Linked DNA regions of Stegostoma tigrinum. The protein of the gene in region 3 purifies or fractionates together with the protein of the main gene of each other region. This does not show direct contact. Links are inferred from orthologs where the notes say so. Each region holds a gene or a part of one and is shown on either strand. Other genes may lie near its edges.

What was found. The genes of interacting proteins can lie anywhere in the genome.
Region 1: the proteins of znf830 (region 3) and ppil2 purify together in Homo sapiens (co-immunoprecipitation; 4 studies listed by BioGRID and IntAct, counting the BioPlex papers as one, with this or other methods). This does not show direct contact. The link is inferred for Stegostoma tigrinum from reciprocal best matches to the Homo sapiens genes ZNF830 and PPIL2.
Region 2: the proteins of znf830 (region 3) and ppie purify together in Homo sapiens (affinity purification with mass spectrometry; 3 studies listed by BioGRID and IntAct, counting the BioPlex papers as one, with this or other methods). This does not show direct contact. The link is inferred for Stegostoma tigrinum from reciprocal best matches to the Homo sapiens genes ZNF830 and PPIE.

Annotation. Positions count from the first base shown.
Region 1 is NC_081379.1:43,741,768-43,749,762, reverse strand, and holds the start of ppil2 (RING-type E3 ubiquitin-protein ligase PPIL2), read right to left. Parts: upstream 3,006-7,995; 5' UTR 2,922-3,005; coding exon 2,890-2,921; intron 27-2,889; coding exon 1-26. UniProt on the Homo sapiens protein: Has a ubiquitin-protein ligase activity acting as an E3 ubiquitin protein ligase or as an ubiquitin-ubiquitin ligase promoting elongation of ubiquitin chains on substrates.
Region 2 is NC_081377.1:33,673,795-33,681,696, forward strand, and holds the start of ppie (peptidyl-prolyl cis-trans isomerase E), read left to right. Parts: upstream 1-4,897; 5' UTR 4,898-4,910; coding exon 4,911-4,941; intron 4,942-7,804; coding exon 7,805-7,902. UniProt on the Homo sapiens protein: Involved in pre-mRNA splicing as component of the spliceosome. Combines RNA-binding and PPIase activities.
Region 3 is NC_081355.1:92,356,378-92,363,631, reverse strand, and holds the start of znf830 (zinc finger protein 830), read left to right. Parts: upstream 1-4,247; 5' UTR 4,248-4,259; coding exon 4,260-4,381; intron 4,382-7,254.

The sequences.
Region 1 (7,995 bases), on a different chromosome or scaffold from region 3:
TTGTATATTCTGTACAGGTAATGTACCTGGAAAAGAAAATAAAGTTCAGTGCAACATTATAAACAGAATTATAGAATGAAGTGGCAGGGGTAACGTCACTAGATTACTGATTGAGACACTTAATCCAATGCTCTGGGTACTTGGGCTTGTAGTCCGTCACAGCACCTGGGAGGAGGGGAGGAGAGGGAAAGAGTTAAAATCAACTAATAGAATCCAGAATTGTTGCCATGCGTGATTTGGTGGTGGAGAAAGCTGATTGCTGTGTGTGTAATTGCACTTATGGATAAGCAAAACAGGGAAAAATCCAAGTGGTCACGTGGTGCAGTAGTAGTGTCCCTATCTGTGAGAGGGAAGTGCTTGGCTTCAAGTTCCACTTGCTCCAAAGGTACATCATAGCACTGTTGAACATCATTAAAACTATCTACAATCTGGAATTGAAAGCTAGTCTCAGTAATGTTGACCATTAAACTATCACTACCTGTCATAAAGATCACCTTGTTCACTTGATTCTTTTGGGCAACCTAACCTGGTCTGCTACATGTGACTCCAGGCACTCAGCAGCACGCTCATTCCTAACTGCCATATCAGTAGCCTGGCAAGAAACTCAGTTCAAGGGCAAAAAAATATTGACCTCGCCCGTGAGACACTTACCCATTGAAGGAAGAGAGGAGCAGATTGGAACTTAGGAACGGGCAAGTCATCTAAAGGAATGCACGTACAAATTGACAGCTTTAAACAACAAAGTTAAAAATACATCCCTGATAATTGAGGAAATATAGTTAATTTAAATGCATCCTAGTTAAAACCATACTTTCCAGAAAGGAGAGTAACCGAACTGAATTGAGTCAAGGGGACAGCTGGAACAAGACTTACTCCCAGACAGCACACACACTCTGTCCCTCCCCAACAACATAACTGACAACCCCACAACCCAGTCACCTCTTCAGGACAGTATCCACAATGTTTAACAGCCAGAGTTCCAGTTCCAAAGCAGAGCTCAGGCAAGTTGAATCCCACCGTGATTAATTTTGGAACTGAAAAAAAGTACTGCAGACTTTACTGATTTTGTACTGCAAAACATTCCTTGATGATAGCTTGTCAGGCACACTTCTCACTCTGCATCACCTGTTCATGTCAGAAAATTCTATTCTGATTTCATTTTGTTGGTAAATACAGAATATCACAGTTTCTATGAAATGTCAATGTAAATTATACCTTACAAACAAAGAAGCTGATTTCTTTCGTTGGTGACTAATGAAACACTAGCTGCTGGCATAGAAAAGGATCCTCTGAAAATCTGCAGTCAACGGCAATCAGGGAAAAATTCTCCATTGCTCACAGTCGTACCTCAATCAAGGCAACATTGTTGTGGTTGTTGGAAATCAATCATTTCAGTCCCGAAAAATCACTGCAGGGAGTGCATATTTAATTTCCTGAATGCAATCATGTTCAGATGCTTCAATGACCTTCCTTCTACCATAATATCAAAAGGGGGAACGTTCACTGATGATTGCACAAAACTGAGCACCATTCACAAACCTTCAGATATTGAAGCAGTCAATCCATATGAAGCAAATCTGGACTAAATCCAGTACTGTCATGATAAGCTACAAAAAAATCACATCTCTCAATGACCAGGCAATTGTCTCTCTCCCCAGAGCCTGTGCGTTATTTACAAGATAGAGATCAAGAATGTGATGGAATATGCTCCACTTACTGGATGAGTGCGGCTCCAGCAGCACTCATGAAGCTTAATGCCAGACAAAACAAAGCATCCCATTGACCAATACCTTCTCTAATACCATCAACATTCACTCCCTTCAACACTGATGTACAATAGCAGCAGTATGCCATCTACAAGATGCACTAATAACAACTCACCAAGGTTCTTTAGACAGCACCTTCTAAATCCCCGACCCTTACCACCTAGGAGAACAAATACGTGGGAACATCAACACTTACAAGTCTCCTTTCAATCCATACACCATTCTGAACTGGAATTATATCTCCAGTCCTTCACTTTTGTTTGGTCAAAATTCTGGAACTCCCTTTCTAACAGCACAGTAGGCACACCTAACCTCAATGGACTCCAGCAGTTCAAGAAGGTGCCCTTTCAAAAGACCAATCAGGGAATGGACATAATTGCTGGCCCAGTCAGTGATGCCAACATCACATGAACAAATAAAAATAAACTTGTCAAAATGCAAGCTGTGGATCCTTTTGCATGGAACTGACAGCAATATCTGAGTTAATTTTAGGTATGCAACTGTCATTTCCAGATACTTGAGATTAATGGTGTTTCCAATCCCTCAAGTGGTGTCATTGCCTTACATTCTGTTACTCCACATATAAACCCTGTGAATATCTGCAGGATCACTGAAATAATGTACACAGAGGTGAGGGGCTGCAATGTAGAAAGAATTGCTCCCTTCCGAAGAAGACAGGGGAAAGAAAAACACAAATAGGAACTGCTGCACAAGTCTGCAGCATACAATGCCACCTAATTTAATGCTTCAAGCACTGATTAGCAAGACTAAAGAGGCAGTACAAAAAGACCAAATGATGAATCAAAACCGTAGCAACTGAGGAGTATTTTAAAGAAGAATACAGAGGTAATTCCAGAGCTCAGGGTTTAGCAGACCGAAGAAGAGTCATTAATGGAGAAGCAATTTAATATCAGGGATGCACAAGAGCACAGAATATTGGCGATGTGGGGAGATAACAGAGATGGGGAGGGGAAGGATCTGAAAAGGGTGAGAATTTTAAAATTAAAGAGGGTCATGTACTCAGGCCGAGTCGCAGTGAACTAAATGGGCTGCTTGAGCGTCACAGGGAGGGCAAAGGGCGATGGGGCCGCTCTCCCAACAGCAAGAAGAGCTCGAGGCTCACATTTTATCTTTCTGGTGCTGCCTCTTCCCCATGGTGTCGGATCAGCCGCCGCTACCTCAAACCTCCGCTCCCAACACAACCTCCCTCAGGCCGCCGGAACTGCGCTCACTTCCGGACAGACCGGTTCGCCTGTAACAAAGGGCCGGGCAAACCCGGAGCGCTGGAGGGAATGTTCCGCCCCGACTGACGTCTGGAAAGTTAACAAGGACCCAGTGCGAAATGCAGAAAGGAGGTCAAGCAGCATCATCTGCTTGGCCTGCTGTGTTCATCCAGCTCCACACTTTGTTATCTTGGATTCTCCAGCATCTGCAGTTCCCATTATCACTGCAGAAAGGAGGTGTCCTGCTGTTTGGGTCCACTGCATCATCTGCTCAGTCATTTTGAATGGCTCGATTTTATGGTCAATATACGGTTTTCCAAAAGTTTGCAGGATAACTATGGATTTATTTGCTCCATTGTGACGGCAACATAGATAGTCTAAATTAACCTGATGGGGTATGTTGTGGTATACCTTTGGCAGTAGGGTGAGACTTGAACCCAGCTTCTCCAGTTTGGAGATGAGGACACTGCCACTGAGCCGTACGAGCCAGCACATCACTGCATGGATTGCAGTGATTCAAGAAAGCAGCTCAACACCATTTGTTCAAGAGACTATGAGGCTTGGACAATAATGCTGGCTCAGCCAGTTGCGCCCACACCATCTGAATTAATGAAATACGTCTATGTATACAGAGGTTAACAATGAAAGGTAGAGACTTAGTGGCATGATGTAAAGACAACAATTTCTCCATCAAGTATAGTAGGAACCACAGATGCTGGAGAATCTGAGATAAAAAGGTGTAGAGCTGGATGAACACAGCGGGCCAAGCCGCATCAGAGGAGCAGGAAAGCTGACATTTGGGGCCTAGACCCTTCTCAGAAATTTTCGTCAGCTTGCCTGCTGTGTTCATCCAGTTCTACAACTTGTTATCTCAATCTCTCCATCAATATCAGTAACAAGCAGGAGCTGGTTATCAACTTCCAACAAGCAGAGTGAAGGACATGCAGCTGTCTGTATCAATGGTGCTGAGCTGGAGACAGTTAAGAGCTTCAACTTCCTATGAGTAAAGATCATCAACAATCTGTCCTGGTCCATCCGCGTCAATGGTCTGATTGAAAAAAAGCATACCAACACTTCTTACATCTTCAGAAGGCTAAGGACATTCAGCATGCAGCACAGAAAGTATCCTATCCAGATGCATCCCACTCCCTCGAGAAAGGAGCCAACATAATCAAAGACCCCTCCCACTCCACTCATGCTCTCTTCCATTCTCTTCCATTAGGCAGAAGTTGCAGAAGTATGAAAACACGTACCAATTAATTCAAGAACATCTTCTTCCCTGCTGTTATCAGACTTTTGATTGGACCTCTCAAATATTAAAGTTAATCCTTCACTGCACCTTCTCTGTAGCTGTAACACTATATTCTGCATTCTGTTTCACACCCTGTTATACTTATGTAAGTTATGATTTGCTTGGATAGCACACAAAACAGTATTTCAGTACATGTGAAAATAATAAATCAAATTTAATAGAATAAACCAATAAATTGACAGTGGAAAACATTTAACCATGAAATTCAAAATAATTGTTCTGCGATTCCAAAATATTTAACAAAAATATATTCTACTGGAAAACAAAGTCTCAGCAAAGTAAGACCTATCACTGGTTTATTCAGAATGTTCAGTATAGTATTAAATTTCAAAAGGCATTCATAATGTTGCAGAGAATAATAATAATTAAGACAGGTCTCAGTACAAAGTGCAGAATATAATAAGTGTAGAATGTTTACAATATAAGATTAATCTGATTTCACATAAGTCGGGGTGGTTCATATTTACAACAACAAATTACACTTTTAACACATTCCAAGCTGCTTAAAAAGTGCACAAACACTAAATTGAACATTGAATCACAGAAGGAAAAGAAATTGAGCCACAGAATAAATGGGTGAAATCTTTGTCAAAGAACTAGGTTTTAAGAACTATCTTAACGGAGAGAAAGAAAGGTAGACATGAACGTTTAAGGAAGAAATTCCAGAGTTTATGAAAGCACAGCTGCGGTAGTGTAGTACCATAATTCAAATTGAGGATGCGAAAGATGCCAAAATTGGAGGGGTGCAGAGTTCTCAGAAGGTTGGTGAGGTGGAACCACCTCTCCAGCGCAGGGAAGGGTAGTGCTGTGGAAAGATTTTAAAACAAGAATGAGGATTTTTAAATTAAGCTATTGTCAGATCGGGAACCATTGCAGGTCAGCAAGTACTGGGGGTAAAGGGGAGTGAGACTTACTACATGTTAAAATATGGGCAGCTGAGTTTGGATGAACATAGTTTACATGTGGTTGAAAAATCGGAACCAGTCCAAGGGGCCTCTAGGACAGATTAGTAGTAGGAAAGACACAGATGAAGGCAATGTCAGCATGAGGCAAAGTTACCAAGTCAAAAATAGATATTCATGGAGGGAGAGGTGAATCTGGAAGCTAATACTAAGGAGCAAAACACAACATAGAAAACTGCAAGCTATCAGCTTAGCTTCAAATGGTTGTCAGGGAGAAGCATATAAATGATGAGCGAGAGAAACAACTTTGTGGCAGTGACCATAACTTCAGTGTACTAATACTTAGGCCAGGACAGACCCTGCACACCAATACTGGATATTGGATGTACATATTGTCAAAGACAGTGGAGGAGTCAAGCATGGTAGTCATGGGATAGAGCTAAGTGTCATCAACAAATCAGTGGAAATGGTCAATTTTCAGATGTTGTTACTGAGGAGCACTGTAGCATGGGAACAAAGGGGCCCAAGGATAGATCCTTGATAGACTGTAGAGGTAGTTGTGTGAGAGTGGAAAGAGAAGCCATTATAAGGGAAACATCATTTGATAGGGCACATCAAAACTATCCTGTGGAATAATGGCAACTCTAGATCACATCATTTCTTGATTTTTATATTGCAAACAAATGAATTGATGTAAGACCATCAGTTTCTCTCCTTAAATATGCACGGTCTATCTCATTTTACCCTGCTAGGCTAAGATATCGCAAATGTTTGAGCAACATGTGAAGTTAGCTGTGTTTTATTGCTACAATGCAGTACCAACATGAGTGATGTTCATCACTAACAGGATACTGCTGCTAAGCTAAAAAGATGCTCTATCTATCTCACAAATGAGTAATGTGATGTATTAATTTCAACACTTATGTGATGCTGGGTACACCGCACATCCCAAAGACAGGCAAATCATATCGAATATAAGCCGACAAGCATCTCCCTTACAAAACATGCAACAGTGACCAACATTAGATGTGATTCTGCAATTGGACAATAATCCTGAGTGTGCAAAGAATTGTACTGTCAACAAATTTAAGATTTTGTAGTGCACTTGCATTTATTGGAAGCTACATGCCTTAATATACAGATCCCAGTTTGTTATAGACAGAGAGAAAATGTACACACATAGTGCCTGTTTCAAATCAACAACATGGATGAGAGGCATACACCAGTTTGTTTCTAAGGTAATGTTCTGACCAATCAGAGGCAACCTCTCTGGTTTAAAACTTGAATAAATCTTGGAAGTTTTCTGTCATTCATCATTAACTAGTGCATTCTTCATGACAATGCCCCTAAAAATAACAGTCCACTTGCCAACCAAATAGCACTGTCCGGTAATATTATATAAATGTTGTTTTACTTTTACTTTGGTATTTCTTACAAACAGTCTTGATGAATGTAAAACCAAAAGTTTCAGTAAAAGATAACAAAGTGTGAAGCTGGATGAACACAGCAGGCCAAGCAGCATTTAGGAGCACAAAAGCTGACGTTTCGGGCCTAGACCCTTCATCAGAGAGGGGGAGGGGGAGAGGGAACTGGAACAAATAGGAGAGAGGTGGAGGCGGACCGAAGATGGATAGAGGAGAAGATAGGTGGAGAGGAGTGTATAGGTGGGGAGGGGATAGATCAGTCTGGGGAGGATGGACAGGTCAAGGAGGTGGGATGAGGTTAGTAGGTGGGAAATGGAGATGCGGCTTGAGGTGGGAGGAGGGGATAGGCAAGAGGAAGAACAGGTTAGGGAGGCGGGGACGAGCTGGGCTGGTTTTGGGATGCAGTGGGGGAAGGGGAGATTTTGAAGCTTGGGAAGTCCACATTGATACCATTGGGTTGCAGAGTTCCCAAGCGGAACATGAGTTGCTGTTCCTGCAACCTTCGGGTGGCATCATTGTGGCACTGCAGGAGGCCCAGGATGGACATGTCGTCTGAGGAATGGGAGGGGGAGTTAAAATGGTTCGCGACTGGGAGGTGTAGTTGTTTATTGTGAACTGAGTGGAGGTGTTCTGCAAAGCGATCTCCAAGCCTCCACTTGGTTTCCCCAATGGAGAGGAAGCCACAACCTGTACAGTGGATACAGTATACCACATTGGCAGATGTGCAGGTGAACATCTGCTTGATATGGAAAGTCATCTTGGGGCGTGGGATGGGGATGAGGGAGGAGGTGTGGGGGCAAGTGTAGCACTTCCTGCGGTTGCAGGGGAAGGTGCCGGGCGTGGTGGGGTTGGAGGGCAGTGTGGAGTGGACAAGGGAGTCACGAAGAGAGTGGTCTCTCCGGAAGGCAGACAAGGGTGGGGATAGAAAAATGTCTTGGGTGGTGTGGTCGGATTGTAGATGGCGGAAGTGTCGGAGGATGATGCGTTGTATCCGGAGGTTGGTGGGGTGGTATGTGAGGACGAGGGGGATTCTCTTAGGGCGGTTATTGCAGGGGGATGGTGTGAGGGATTTGTTGCGGGAACTGCAGGAAACACAGTCGAGGGCGTTCTCGACCACTCCGGCGGGGGAAGTTGTGGTCCTTGAAGAACGCGGACATCTGGGATGTAAACGTTTCAGTAAAATATGTTTTTTTCAGCTATATTCATGTAACATTTGTTTCAATAGCATGTGTGCAGTTACTATTTCAATGTATGTATGCAAATAACTATTCATATTCTATAAATGATAAGCATTAACTGAAACTGCTGGAAAATCCTCAACAGGTCAAAACTGTTCTGAAGAAGCATCGCTGGATCTGAAACATTAAC
Region 2 (7,902 bases), on a different chromosome or scaffold from region 3:
AGAAAAAACATGATATGTATAGAATTTTATAGAAGGAAGCCATGTAGCCCACTGTGTCTGTCCTGGCAGCAAAATAAAGTTGCAAACAACTGGTTTACTAATTGGTATTTTACTTTGGATTCAGTCAGTATTATCAATTTAAAATGATTAACATGGTTTGACCTGCAGTTACAAGTTTCAGTAATATGTGTGTTGTATGACACACAGCAATTCGGTGGTTCTGGTACATCAAAAATGCTGGTTACCTATTGCAGTTTGTGATAATTAGTCGGTATCAAATAAAAATGTATTAACTTATACTGCAACCTGTTGTGGCTTCAAACATTTCAACTATTTGACTTCTTCGCTCCAAACACTGAAGTAAAAGTCCTTCAACTTGCAGCTGATTCTTTTACAATTATTTCTAACTGACATGGGTATTTTGTATAGCAACAGTGATACATGTGGTTAGGGCGGTATCAGATTCATTTGTTGGAACGTTCCAGTTGGAGAGGAGGCAGATATTAAAATTTTACTTTTTTTTGCAGATTGCCAAGAACCAAGGATTCCACAAGTTTTGATTCAGATATATTCAGACTGGATGCGTGGATTGTGCTTAGCTTTGAGGAAAAAAAAACAAAAACATTGCAAAATTTCAAATAACCAGATCCTGAAACGTTTTAAATGTACCTTAAGAATTTAAAAGAAATATATTTTGATAAATCAAACTATAAAATTATCAAGCAGGGCACTACTTTGATTTAAAACTTGTTTTGTTTTGAAAATGGGCGTCTGTGGCCAGGATAGATTTATTTATTTTTTTCCTTCTCTTTAAAGAACAAGAAATAAAAGGTTAAAGGTATGAGAATGGAGCTAGATTTTACTTTGCAGTTGAGTTTTATCATTAAGGTGTGTTTTAATTTTTAAAACTCAAGTTTGCCTAAATCTGGAAAAGTGTGTTTCTGATTGGGGAAAGGAGAAACCAATAAAAAAACTTTCACTACAATGTGTCAGTTGTCGTCATTTGCACTGGAGGGATTTTGATATTGATGCGTATGTTTTATTTATTAGGTTTTGGCTGTATAGTAGACTATTTAAATGGGGGAATGGAACTTCAGAGATGAAGAAGAATTATTTTATATAATGATAAAGTACTGTGGCTGTCATGAGATGCTAATAATACCTTGACATGTTTGTAATTTCCCATTGAAGCAGCAGTGGATTCCAGATAAGAACTCCAGGGCCCTGTCATTGTCATCAGTAGATCTATCACTGTCACACAAGTCAACTATTTCTCCACCCTCATTTGCAATTTGGTCTGTTTCCTCCAAGCTGAAAAGAAGTTTTCTATTAAAAAAATGTTAAAAATATTTCATGGCTGTGAACTGATATTGGGGTGCTTAAGTTCAGAACTAAGTGATGGGACTTGTCCACTGATAATGGGCAAGTGTCTGCTTTGTCACAGTGGTTAAACAAAATACTATGTAAATATAATGAATCTTCTGAATGGGGAAAAAATGTTACAAACAATGTGCATCTCCTGATGATTGTTTAGAAAACATAGACTGCTGGAGTCAGAAGAGAAGATTAATTTCAGTTTGGAGGAGAAAGTATAAGACAAGCAAATGTAATGAAAATATGTCAGTTTTTTTTAAATGATCATTTCTGCTTCTCTTGAAATAAAAGATTGTGATCAAACATGGTATAACACATGTATTTGCTACATTTTTTTTGTTTCCAAAGCCCCATCTGGCTGATGTCATAGGGAAAATCTGGAAACTCTTTGACACAGATCAAACACCAATACAGCAGCGAAAGCCAGCAACTTGAATTATTGACTGCACAGATATTAACCAGAATATCATTTTAAGGCAGATTTGGCACCAGTCATCCAAATCAGCCCAATTCCTTTGACTTTAGAATTTTAACTTTTACGGTATGAATAATTGTTAAGGAAAAAACACTGAAAATATACATATGCTAGTTCTAGCATAAAGACCAATTTTCTATAACATTCAAATCAACAATTATACTTTCTAGTTTGCAACTAGTTTTAAAAAAAGTCAAACTTTTGGCAATTTTTTGCATTGTGGAGCAAATTTCCTTTAGTGACAAACAGAGAAGACAAAGTTGTCAGAGCAAATTGCTCAAGAAATTCTAAGGTGATAAAATTATTAAAATTAATTATTTAAAAAAGCTTGTCTTGAAAATGTATTGTTTTAAGTTTGACTAAATGCTTACTGATTTTAAAAGAGGAACAATTGTTAAATCTATCTTCTCTCTGGATGTTACACTGCATCTCACTATTCCAGTACAAAGATGTAACCTGGTTTCATCATCCATGAGCATAACAAGTGCATTTCACATGATCTCTGGCATTTGTCCCATGCAAATTAGTTACTGTAACTAATGGTTTTTTTTAAATTATGTGTCATAAATAGCAAAGTTAACAGGATTGTAAGCCATATGTACAAATGAAAATTGACTGTAGGGGAAATTATGAAAATATGAACCATTGAGTCCTAATGGGTTGAAACTGTGACCTACTGCACAAATCTGAAAAGGAATGGTTCAAGTTTATGAAACTGATTCTTTTCTTCATTTAGAGAACAATTGTATACAGCCAGATCTGTAAATAGTAGAATTTCCAGCATTGGGGAAATGGTAGGAGAACACTTCAATCAAATCATAAAGACATCACAAATCCATTTAAACAAATGCCTACCTTTCAGGTTTGAGATCCAGAAGAATAAACTTGATTTTTCTTACTAGTATTTTCCCCCTTGGAGATATTCTTGCTGGAATGTTGTCTCAAAGCCAGTAGATGCCACCGGATGTTTCGTCCAAGTTCTCTATTGAGCGTTCAGTATATAAATTATTCAACATTATGTCAATGCCTAGTCCTGTCCAAGCCTGTTTTCACGTATGTGCTTTTTTACAGATGATGTCACTGGGTACCTCTCCCTTCTCTGAGAGGTTGTGATGCTGGTTGTGGTTACTAATAAAATCAATCCAACAAAGATTAGTGATTGAACCTGAGACCCTCATTGTCTAGTTGGTTCAGCCTTCCAAATCACTGTTGGTAGTTCTTTGAGTAACTTGGATGTGGAAGCTAACGTACACTGGGAATATGGGGAAAAATAGGCCATTCAACACCTTCAGCCAGTTTTGCTTTTCAAGTAGATCATAGCTGACTTGGTTACATTTGCAGATGGTAACAAACTGATTGTGGCAATTAAGGGAAGTAGGCAAAAGGCATACAACTGGTGTCGTTTACGATATCCCTTTGGAAGGTGTGAAAATAGCTAAAGGTTGAGGAAATTGAAAATAAATGAGGTAATGGCCAACTTAGTGAAGGAAAAATATAGTGCAGTATTTTATTGCCAAATAAAATTAGAAATTCAAGACTGTCACTTAAGTCCTGTATTAAGTTTGGCTCATATAGAAGAGAAACATTCCAGTCATGGAACACTGCAGAAAAGAGGCCTGAAGCTGATTCTCAGTGTGGAAGGTTTTTTTTCATATGTGGGACATGGGCATCATTAGCGGGCAACATTTATTACCTGGCCCCGTTGCTCTGGAGAAGGTGGTGGTGAATTGCTGCAGTCCATCTGCTGTTAGTTGACCCATAATGTCCTTAAGAAGGGAATTCTAGAATTATGACCCGGTGACAGTTAAATAACTGTTTTTTGGAATACCAGTTAAGAAAGAAGGTGACTGAGTAGGAACTGACAGAAGGTATTTAATATTTTACAGTAAAACCAGCTCATAATGTCAAGGGAAAAAGATACTTACAGCTGGGCAACATAAGGTAAAGTAACCATAGTCCCATTCTTTCATTAGAGAAAGATGTCTGTGGTGGTTTAATTTGAGGGGAAGGACGGAGAAGAGTGGACCTTGTCACATTAGATACTGTAGGAATTGAACACAAACTGTTGGCCTCAGTTTGTATTGCAAGCTAGCCATCCAGCTAGCTGAGCTAACCAACCCTGAAAAGGCACACATAATGGTATCAAGAGGAACTGCAAACTGCAGTGGTCACCCGTTGTAACTAATCTCAGTGTAAGGTTTGAAAGTGCACAATTGTTACAATTAAGAAGGAAAGTTCATTAAAGATTTCACAGAATAAAGTGCTGAAGAATTTTTTTAAATCTTGGATGGATTAACTCTGGTGTCCAGAGTACAACCTTGTGGGAGAATCTAGAACGAGGGCTCATAATTTTAAAATAAGGGGGTGCCCATTCAAAACAGATGAGGAAAATAAATTCCTCAGAATAAGTCTCAGGAATTCCCTTTCTCAAAAAGCAGTGGATGTAGAATCTTTAAAATGTTTTAAGACAGAGGTGGACAGATGGATATGTAGGAATATATGGTTGAGGTTCAAGTCAAATCAGCTCTGACGTTATTGAATGGCAGAGCAGGGTTGTGCAGTCTACTCTTCCTTGATGACATGTAACCCCTATCTGCTTATTTAGTGGAAAAATGATCAAGTCCCATTTATAAACTAACATTTTAAGGCTCTTTGTGAGACTTTATAGAGTGAAGTCTGAACACAAATTTTCCTATATATCGTACAGAGAGCACTGTGGAATACTACAGAATATAAAGATGTTATTTCCAAAAAAGCACCTGCCCCAGGCATGTTTTGATTATCTATATGATCCCTTAGAGACAGTTTAAACATCAGGCTCTGCAAAGATACGTCTCCTATCAGCACCTACTCTATCCCACTTTAACTATTACTCCAAAATTGCTCTCATTTTCCTGTCTAGTTAATTTAGAAATTAGCTTATATTTTGTTGGGTTTTTTTTTCAATTTTCTTTTCAAGTTCGGAATTTTTTTGTTTGAAAAAGAACTTATTAAATAAACCAAACATTGAGCAAGTGTCTGGGTGAAAGGTTGGAGTTGAGAGGGGAAAGTTCAAGGGAAGATGGCGTCGACCAAGCGGGTGCTGTATGTGGGTGAGTGAGGAAGGGCCACGGCCGCTCTTCAGATTCTTTCCACAGTCAAATAACATTCTCCATGGGGTACTTGTCCGAATTTACTCAGTGCGGTGGGTCTCTAGTGCAGCAACGGGGGAAATTCCAAACCCTGCACAATTTAACAAAAAAAAACTCATCTCTGCGAGCAAGATCGCCTGTAGGTTGCTTATCGTTTGCTTTTTTAAAATCTTACCATACTCCAAAAATGTTTTTTTTTCAGTTTATCGTTTTATAGTTTATCATTTTTCAGTCTGAGAATGATTCATTCAACAATCATGTAGAATTGTACAGAATACGGGCTGTTTTGATTACTGTGTCCTTTTAACATATTGATGAAAGACGAAGCATCATTCTGCCGTAATTACACATAATTTGCTGTCGTTGTTATAATGGTTATCCATTTATAACTATTTGTAACCTGAGACATGGTGCTATGATGACTAGTCCTTGGGCCAGTGATTTCAAAACTCTTCCACTGTGACTCAATTTCGAGGCTTGTAAACTGTCACCATTCTTCAAAGAGACCTTTGAGAGTTGTTGGGAGAAGTTAGATACCTGTGGGCATTGTTGCTTGTTAGATCTGGAGCACAGTCGTTTGGGATTACACAGCAGCAATTATAGCCTTGGAACTTGCAACCCCCTTCTGGCCTGATCCCTTTTGGGAAGCGCTGCCTTTAGATGATGGTCTTTATTTTAAGATCAGATTACTGTTGAACCTGCAATGTCATGTACTGACTTAATAGACTGTCTAGTCACATGAAGGAACTCCTGATTCAGTCATTGTGGCAACAGTTGGACCTTGTTTGATCTGTGGGTAGACTTTTTCATTCTTATTGTAATACATATCTATAAAAACACACTTGGAAATAAATCTACAGTGTGTTGTGCTTTTAAAAAAAAATTTGGATCTTTAATAGTTAGATGTCCCATAGCTCAGCCTAGAAGTGTGTAAACATATTTTGCTGTAGAATGGTGGAATGCGGGTTTGTGCCTCAAGTTGAATATTTAATCTCAGATGTGTCATGTGAAAAGAAGCATAATGGGAAATTAAGGTATCTCCATGATGGAAGGAACATTTGGAGACTGATTTTCCTTAATAATCATTCACAATTGCAGGTTAGATAGGTGCTTTACCATTAATTAGCAAATGGTTTTGAAAGGAAATTGGATCAACTTGAAGGAAATAAACTCGCCAGGCTGCAGGGGAGTGGGATTGACTGTTTTGCTCAAAGGAGAGCTAGCAGAAACTTAGATAGCAGCCGTAAATGACTCTGGCAATGGGACGGGCAAAAACTTCTGGTTGTATGACGTTCTACAACTACATCTGGACAAGAAGTAATGAAGTCTCCATTCAATAGAGGCCAAAAAGATGGCCAGTGGATTGCACTAAGTCTGTTCAAATCTGATCTCTTAAAGTTGCTGCAAATTAGAATTAACATTTATTATAGTATCATTTTATAAATCAAAGTTCTTTATATTTAAAAATCAAGGGCAGTCCATATGTAGCTTATTTCTTAAAAGGTTTCTTAATCAGTTGCTGAGCTCTTTGATAGACAAGTAGATGTGCTTTGTTCTAAACACAGTTTTTGTTTGGAAGGATCAATTTAATCCTTTTTTCATTTGCATTGTATGTTGTTCAGTTTATTTTTCAAGATTTCTTTTGGAGGAGATGAATACTATGGGCAACATACTATGTTGAAGCTTAAAAGGCCTGAAACACCAGCTTTCCTGCTCCTCTGATGCTGCTTGGCCTGTTGTGTTCATGCAGCTCTACACCTTGTTATCTCAGTTCTTTGTAATTTACAATGTGACTGAAAGTTTTAAAAACATGAGAAATTATCCTTTGACCACATTGTTTTAAAAAATATAGCATTTTAAATTCTTGTTGACTGAATGTTGAGCATTCAAATTCATTTAAAAATATCATCATAAGACATTTTTGTGTTATTGTTTATGTGATGATGTATCAGGCAATCACTCATTTCAGCACCAGTGGAGATTTGATACTGTTCCTTGTGTTGGGGCAAAATTTTTGAACATACATAATTGTGTGTTTCCAAGAAACACAGGAAAAAGCCAGGTATCTCCATCTTTTGGGTGCTATATGCTGCAATTAGGGAAGGAGGCCTTAATACTGGATAACATATTTTATATACTCTGTGTATAGTTTCACTTTATTAGTCTTGCCCTACTTAAAGTCAAGTATTTTATACTCTAAAACTAATAGTAAAATACTGGTGGATAAACTTGACTTCTATAAAAAGGAATTTTTGTGGACAGTGTGATTGAGAGAAGTCACAGGCAGTCAGAGAAGGATGGTTAAGGTGACTGAAGTTGCGGAGAATAAAGAATCATTCAATGCAAATCAATCCAAGTGAAATGCAAAGACTGTGAGGATGGAAGGGAGATGAGTTTGATAGAGAGGGTGAGATGAGTTTGATAGAGAGGATGTGGGTCCTGTTATGTTCTGTGGTTAAGGTATTTCTAGCTAAAGAAAAACACCTACAAAACTGCAAGATGCTTGTCATCAAATGAATGCAGCCAGTCAGACTTGTGATTGAATTAAGTAGGTTTTCCATTGTTTGAATTGTTTTTAATTCTGTTATGACATCTGGTGTAGCTGCCATTTGTTACCCATCCCTAATTGCCTTTCAGAAGGCTGTGGTGAGCTGACACCTTGAGTTGCTGCTATCCATAAGGTGTAGCTACACCCACAGTATCCGTTAGGGAGGGAGTTCCAAATTTTTTGGCTCAGTGACAAGGTATTTTGTGGTCAATGTTGTGGTGTTCTCACAGAAAATCTTGTTATATTTAATGTATATTTTGTGTTTATCACCTGTAGGTGGTCTTGCTGAAGAAGTAGATGAGAAAGTGCTTCATGCAGCTTTCATTCCATTTGGTGATATCATGGACATTCAAATTCCACTGGATTATGAAACT
Region 3 (7,254 bases):
CTCTTGAACCACAGCATTGATTCTTAATTGCAATTTGGACAACTGCTGAAGGGCAAAACATGCTTGCCTAATCAGAGACACTCATATTCCATTGTGAATTACAAAATGTGCTACTGTCATTGCAAAATATATGTATGCAATAAGGAAAATGGTATCAGTTATGTGGACAGGGACCTTTACCTGCTGTGGAAAATTTATACCAAAATTGTTGTTCTGTTTCCACCACACTCAGATCAATAGCTTCCTCGTGTATGATCTTTAGTATTCTGTACTAAAGGATTTTTTTAGAATAAAGCATTTTTCTGGAATTATTTTAGAAATATGCATGCTGTGACTGTGCATATATTGCTGTGCTGAGATTAACTGTTGCATAATCTACATAAATGCTGAACTCAGTCATGATCCATTAGCAGGAATTACACATCAGCAGATAAGTTTACCGTGAAGCAAATCTGCTCAACCAGCAGTACCCCCTCCAAGTTTCATTGAAAAAGTTTGTGTATATCAGCGTTGGCAATGGCCTGATGAGACATTGTGCAATACTGAATTTCTACTTTTGACCTCTAACCGTATTAAGGGAGATTAAAAATGTATCAAGATAGCTAACTTCACCAGATCAAACCTTGAAGTTGTCACTTTGCAGATTAAGATGCACCCATAGGCATGGCCCAAGAAATTGTTTTGCATTTTTGAACTTCCCATTGCATCTCAGTACTGATTTTACAAATCTGATTTTTGTGTAACATATTTGTTTGTATAATCATACCTACTTTTAGGTCGATTTGAAGTGCTACTTACTCTATATTACCAAACTGTACATTGATGAATATAGTACAATAAAATTGTGATGCTGAATTGCAGGAGACCACTCACAAATGTGCGTCAAGCTGAGTTTTGAGATAGCCAAAGAAGCTCAAGCACAACTCAATTTTGCCTAGACATATTTCATGCAAAAACAAGCAAATAAAGACACAGTAACTATGTGAAAAATGCATTTCCTTTTATTTTCAATTTATTCACACTTTACAACGGCCGGAGCATGTACTGTAAAAAGTATTAAAAATGTTGGGGTTATCTCTGGAAAATCTCAATAAACTTTTTCTGCTTAACATGATGTCTTTGGGGAAATGTGATACAGAATGCCATGCTGTCAATGCAGTCAAACATTTTTCAGTGTTTGTGTTCCAGCACAAAACCCAGGCCATTTCCACGGCTGCAGAGCTTTAGTTAGGGAAACGCAGGCATTCATTAGTCTCTTCACAATTATCTGCCATTTCAGTGATACTTACATGGCTTCACAGAAAGATGTTGATGTCAAGTGTCAAGCTTGCCTGGAATCTTGTGCTGCAGTGCAGCCTGACTCCAATCTGATTGATTGGTGTGGTCACATGACAAGTTAACACAAATTCAATAAATCTGGAGTTACCAGTCCAGACTTTTGATATATGAACAGCATCTTTCTGTTAGATTTCCTAACTTATCTACAGCTAGTTCAGTTTTCATGTCCACATTGTTGCTTAATTTAACTTAGAATACTAGTCTTGGACAGCACGTGGATAAACTTCAGAAGTTATTCATCCCAGTCAGGCATAAAATTAAAACGGGAAATGTGGTCAGACCACAGCTTGCAAGGGAAACTAAGAATAGTGTTAAATCCAAAGAAGAGGCATACAAGTTGGCCATAAAAAGCAACAGACCAAAGAACTGGCAACAATTTAGATTCCATCAAAAGGAAAGAAACAGGCAATTAAGAGAGGAAGATAATAAAATGTGAGGCTGGATGAACACAGCAGGCCAAGCAGCATCTCAGGAGCACAAAAGCTGACGTTTCGGGCCTAGACCCTTCATCAGAGAGGGGGATGGGGGGAGGGAACTGGAATAAATAGGGAGAGAGGGGGAGGCGACCGAAGATGGAGAGTAAAGAAGATAGGTGGAGAGAGTGTAGGTGGGGAGGTAGGGAGGGGATAGGTCAGTCCAGGGAAGACGGACAGGTCAAGGAGGTGGGATGAGGTTAGTAGGTAGCTGGGGGTGTGGCTTGGGGTGGGAGGAAGGGATGGGTGAGAGGAAGAACCGGTTAGGGAGGCAGAGACAGGTTGGACTGGTTTTGGGATGCAGTGGGTGGGGGGGAAGAGCTGGGCTGGTTGTGTGGTGCAGTGGGGGGAGGGGATGAGCTGGGCTGGTTGTGTGGTGCAGTGGGGGGAGGGGATGAGCTGGGCTGGTTGTGTGGTGCAGTGGGGGGAGGGGATGAACTGGGCTGGTTGTGTGGTGCAGTGGGGGGAGGGGATGAACTGGGCTGGTTTAGGGATGCAGTGGGGGAAGGGGAGATTTTGAAACTGGTGAAGTCCACATTGATACCATATGGCTGCAGGGTTCCCAGGCGGAATATGAGTTGCTGTTCCTGCAACCTTCGGGTGGCATCATTGTGGGTTAATTAAGAGAGGAAAATGGAGTGTGAGAGAAGGATTGACAGGAACATACAGACCAATGGTAAAAACTTCAACTGATATGTGGTGAGAAAAAAAAAGTGAGAACTAGTTGGCAGACACGAAACAAACAGTTGAGATAAACAAAATAATAACCAAAAGAATTGTGGATGTTGTAAATCAGGAACAAAAACAGAATCCCCCTCATCCTCACGTGCCACCCCACCAACCTCCAGATCCAACGCATCATCCTCCAGCACTTCCACCATCTGAATTCCGACCCTACCACCGCAGACATTTTTCCCTCCCCACCCTTATCTGCTTTCCAGAGGGACCACTCTCTCCGTGACTCCCTTGTCTGCTCCCCACACTCCCCTCCAGCCCCACCTCACCTGGCACTTTTCCCTGCAACCACAGGAAGTGCTACTCCTCCCGCCTCACCCCCATCCCAGGCCCCAAGAAGACTTTCCACATCAAGCAGATGTTCACCTGCACATCTGTTAATGTGGTACTGCATCCGCTGTACCCGTTGTGGCCTCCCCTACGTCAGGGAGACCAAGCAGAAGTTTGGAGACCACTTTGCAGAACACCTACGCTCAGTTCACATGAAACAACTTAACCTCCTAGTCACGAATCATTTCAACTCCCCCTCCCATTCCGCAGATGACGTGTCCATCCTGGGCCTCCTGCAGTGCCACAACAATGCTACCTGAAGGTTGCAGGAACAGCACCTCATATTCCGCTTGGAAATCCTGCAGCCCAATGGTATCCATGTGGACTTCACAATTTTCAAAATCTCCTCCTCCTACCGCATCCCAAAACCAGCCCAGCTCGTCCAAGCTTCCTTAACCTATCCTTCCTCCCACCTCAAGCCTCACCCCAATCTCCTACCCACTAACGTCATCCTGTCCCCTCAGCCTGTCCGTCTTCCCTGGACTAATCTATCTCCTCCCTACCTCCCCACCTACACTCACCTTTACCGGCTCCATCCCCGCCTCTTTGACCGCTTTGTCTCCTCTCCACCTCTCCTCCTTTATCCAAATTCTATCCACCTCCCCCTCTCAATTTCAGAAACCCCTTTCTCTGCCCCATTTCTGAAGAAGGGTTTAGGCCCGAAACATCAGCTTTTCTGCTCCTAAGATGCTGCTTGGCCTGCTGTGTTCATCCAGCTCCACACCTTGTTATCTCAGATTCTCCAGCATCTGCAGTTCCTACTATCTTTACAATGTGTTATCTATATTTTAATCACTCTGTTCAGATATATTATTACAGCAGGTGGGACTTGAACAGAAGGTTCCTAAATTCTATGTTTCTTAGACATACCTTTCTCCTCCTCAAACACGATGTAAATTGCAATCACATTCTAACTGCTGCTACCCAGAGGTACCCTTCCTGTGCGGACGATGTCTGGCAGGCTGAAGCAGGGATCTGCATCCATACACTTTGTGGGAATGACAGTGTGACAAAACGGCTAAGCGATAGCAGGAACTGCAGATGTTGGAGAATCTGAGATAACAAGGTGTAGAGCTGGATGAACACAGCAGGCCAAGCAGCATCAGAGGAGCAGGAAAGCTGACGTTTCGGATCTAAACCCTTCTTCAGAAATACGTCGGGAAACTGACCCCTCAGGAAACCGGGAATGTATGTCGCCAGGAGACATTTCATTTCAGGAACCCGAGCACCATTGTTATGAATTAAATTAATGTCTAATCCTCATCCCACCCGTACAGTAATTATAATAACTGTTACCTTACTCAGCATTCGGCATCTCAACAACGCATCCACTGCCTGGGAAGCAGTTCCGGGTTCACACCGGAAACGGTCTTCTCTGTCAAGATGGCGGCACCTGGTAAGGGGAAGAAGAAAGTTGTTGACCAGCAGGAGCTGCGGCGGTTAATGAGGGAAAAGCAGCGGGCGAGCGCGGCCGGCAAGAGGATCGACTCACCACTCGCTAAATATCCTTTTGGAGGGTCCGGAGGAAATGGGAGTTAGATCTCTTCTGCCAGACCAGGAAACCGTTTAACTCAAAATCAGGAGGATTTGTCAGGCCTGAGGGCGTCTTGGTCCATTTCGTGATCGAGATTTTTCAAATTCACACATCTGAAGTGACACTAACCACATACGCCAGTCAACAGTTTGCATTTACAGTACACCTCATCTTACCCGTGAAGTGCTTGGCATAAGAGGGTTTGCCAGGCTAAATTGAAGGGGGAGGCAAGGAGTCTAAGCATGAACCTGGCAAATTCGTGGGAACAGAAGCGTTTTCCTTGAAAATTATGAGCGAAAATAAAAGGATCCTTGGTTAGTTTAGCTCAAACATTCCCAGGCATCAACAATCGCTCCTCAGCTGTTTGATAGTTGCATTCCTTTCAGATTCCATTTGTGCTCTTCTAACAACTACAGTGTAATTGTTTTTTATCTATCTCTGTGGTTTATTTTATATTGAAACTTGTGGGCTTGATTTCCAAGATTCATTTGAGTCACAGTTCTGGGTCATGTCTTTTGAAGATCTTTATTGAGATTTTCCAGAATAATCAAACATTTGTTATTGGAAAATCTTTCCCAATCATTAAGTAGTTTCATGTGCAGTTTCCTGAATAAGTGGCAATATTATTGTTATGGGATAGCTAAGTTGAGTTAAATGCATGACTTAAAGATTGTTTTGGGTGTAATGGCTTTCAGTTAATGTGGCACTAGTACTAGCTTAGAAGATCAAATCTGGGAATTGAATATACAGGGTATGTGACATTTTGAAAGGCTAGCAAGAGTAAAAGGTTGTGTTGTTTCTTTATTAGTTACGGACATGCTAAACTTAAATAAGGTCAATTAAAAACGGCAAAGTTAGCTGGTGTGGACTAGGAAAGGAGTTTTCAGAAAGATAATTGAGGAACAAATGACAAAGGAATAAAATGAATACTTTGCATCAAGAAGAAACTAATTGCATTCCAGAATAAGAAATACGAAAAAGATCTCGGGGTAGAATGGGGCTAACGTCTGATATATCAGTGGTCCTGATTCATTGCATCCGAGGATTTTAAAAGAAGTAGCTACAGATAGTGGATGAATGGTAATAATCTTCCAGTCCTTAGATTCCATAAATGCCCCAGATTATTAGAAAATTATTAACGTAACACTCTTATTCAAAAACTGACAAGAGACAGAGGAAAGTAACTAGGCCCGTGAGCTTGATTTCTGTCATTGGAAAAATGTTATAGTCTATTATAAAGATGTAATCACAGTGTGTTTATAAATGTTTAATATAATCAGTCAGCATGATTCCATGAAGGGGAAATCATGCTTGAAATGTTTATTAAAGTTCTTTGAGGAGAATAGATAAGGTAAATCGATAGATGTAATGTATTTGGGTTTTCAAAAGCTTCTGCACATTAAGTCTTAATAAGACAAGAGCCATGATGTTAGGGGTGGCATAGTTGCATGAAAGAAGATTGGCTAACAACTGGAAGACAGGAAGTTGGGGTGAGGAGGCATATTCAGGATGGTTGTAATTAATGAAGTACTACAGGGATAAGTGCTGAAGCCATAATTATTTATAATATAGATTAATCACTTGGATGAGGAAAATGATTGTATTTTGGTCACTTTTGGAGAACACAGAAATAAGTGGCTAAGCCTCGTGAGGATGAAACAAAGTGTCTGCAGAAGGATAAAAATAGGTGACTTGATTGGGTAAAGACTTGACAGATGAAGTATAATGTAGCAATATATGAGGTTATGCACTGTGGCAGGGAGAATAGATGAGGTAAATATCAGTTAAATGAGGAAAGACTGCAGGAATCTGCAGCAAAGTGATTTGGGGGGTCCTCATGCATAAATCACAAAAAAGTCAGCATCAGTGTTCAGCGGCTAAAAAGAAAGGCATATGGACTGTTGGCCTTTATTTCAAGGGAATCATACAAAAATAGGAAGGTCTTCTAAAAGCTGCACGATGCACTAGTTGTACCACATCTAGAATACTGTAAATAGTTGGCCCCTTCGTTTAAGGAAAGTTGGCATTGGTGTCAATCCACAGAAGTTTCACTAGCTTGATTGTGGGTAGGGAGAGATTTTCTTATAGGTGAAATTGAGTTGGAGTTTGGAGGAATAAGAGAAAACCTAATTGAAACATTTTAGGTTCTTAGGGGGCTTGACAGAGTAGATGCAGGAAAGTTGTTTTCCCCTTGTATGAGAGTCTAAGACCAGAGGGCATAATTTCAGAGGCTGGAAGTTGTCCATTTAAAACTGAAGAAATTTCTTCCCTGAGTACAGTGAATCTGTGATTTTGTTTTTGTGTCACATGGCTAAAGAGACTGGGTTAAGTACATACAAAGCTGAGATTGACAGACTTTTTATCAGTAAAGGATTCAAGGATTAATGGAGAAAAGGCAAAAAAGTGGTGTTAAGGATTATCAGATCAGGCTTGATTTCACCGAATGACAGAATAGACTCAAAGTACTGAATGATCTACTCTTCCTTCTCCTTCTGATCGTTGGTCTTGTGAAGTCTGCATCAGTGGGCTTTACATTTTCTTTCTTTATGGATTAGGTTTTAACTTTGATGTTATAAAGTAAATTGGACTTCAAAATGATTATTGAGGCTCAGGTTTGTTTTTGGACTGACAACCTGCTCCCTAGCTTTGCAACTATTTCTGTGTCTGCTAAGCTGGTTTTTACAAATCCACAGAGTTGTAGGAACCTCTTAAAATTACTTCCTACTGACCGTTGCCTTGTCATCTGTAGTTTTCTCCCCCTTGCTTCTGCCACTTTGCACATTGATCTGCTGTTTATCTCCAAGCCTCCTATCTGATTATTGTCTTGTTGTATCTCAACAACTT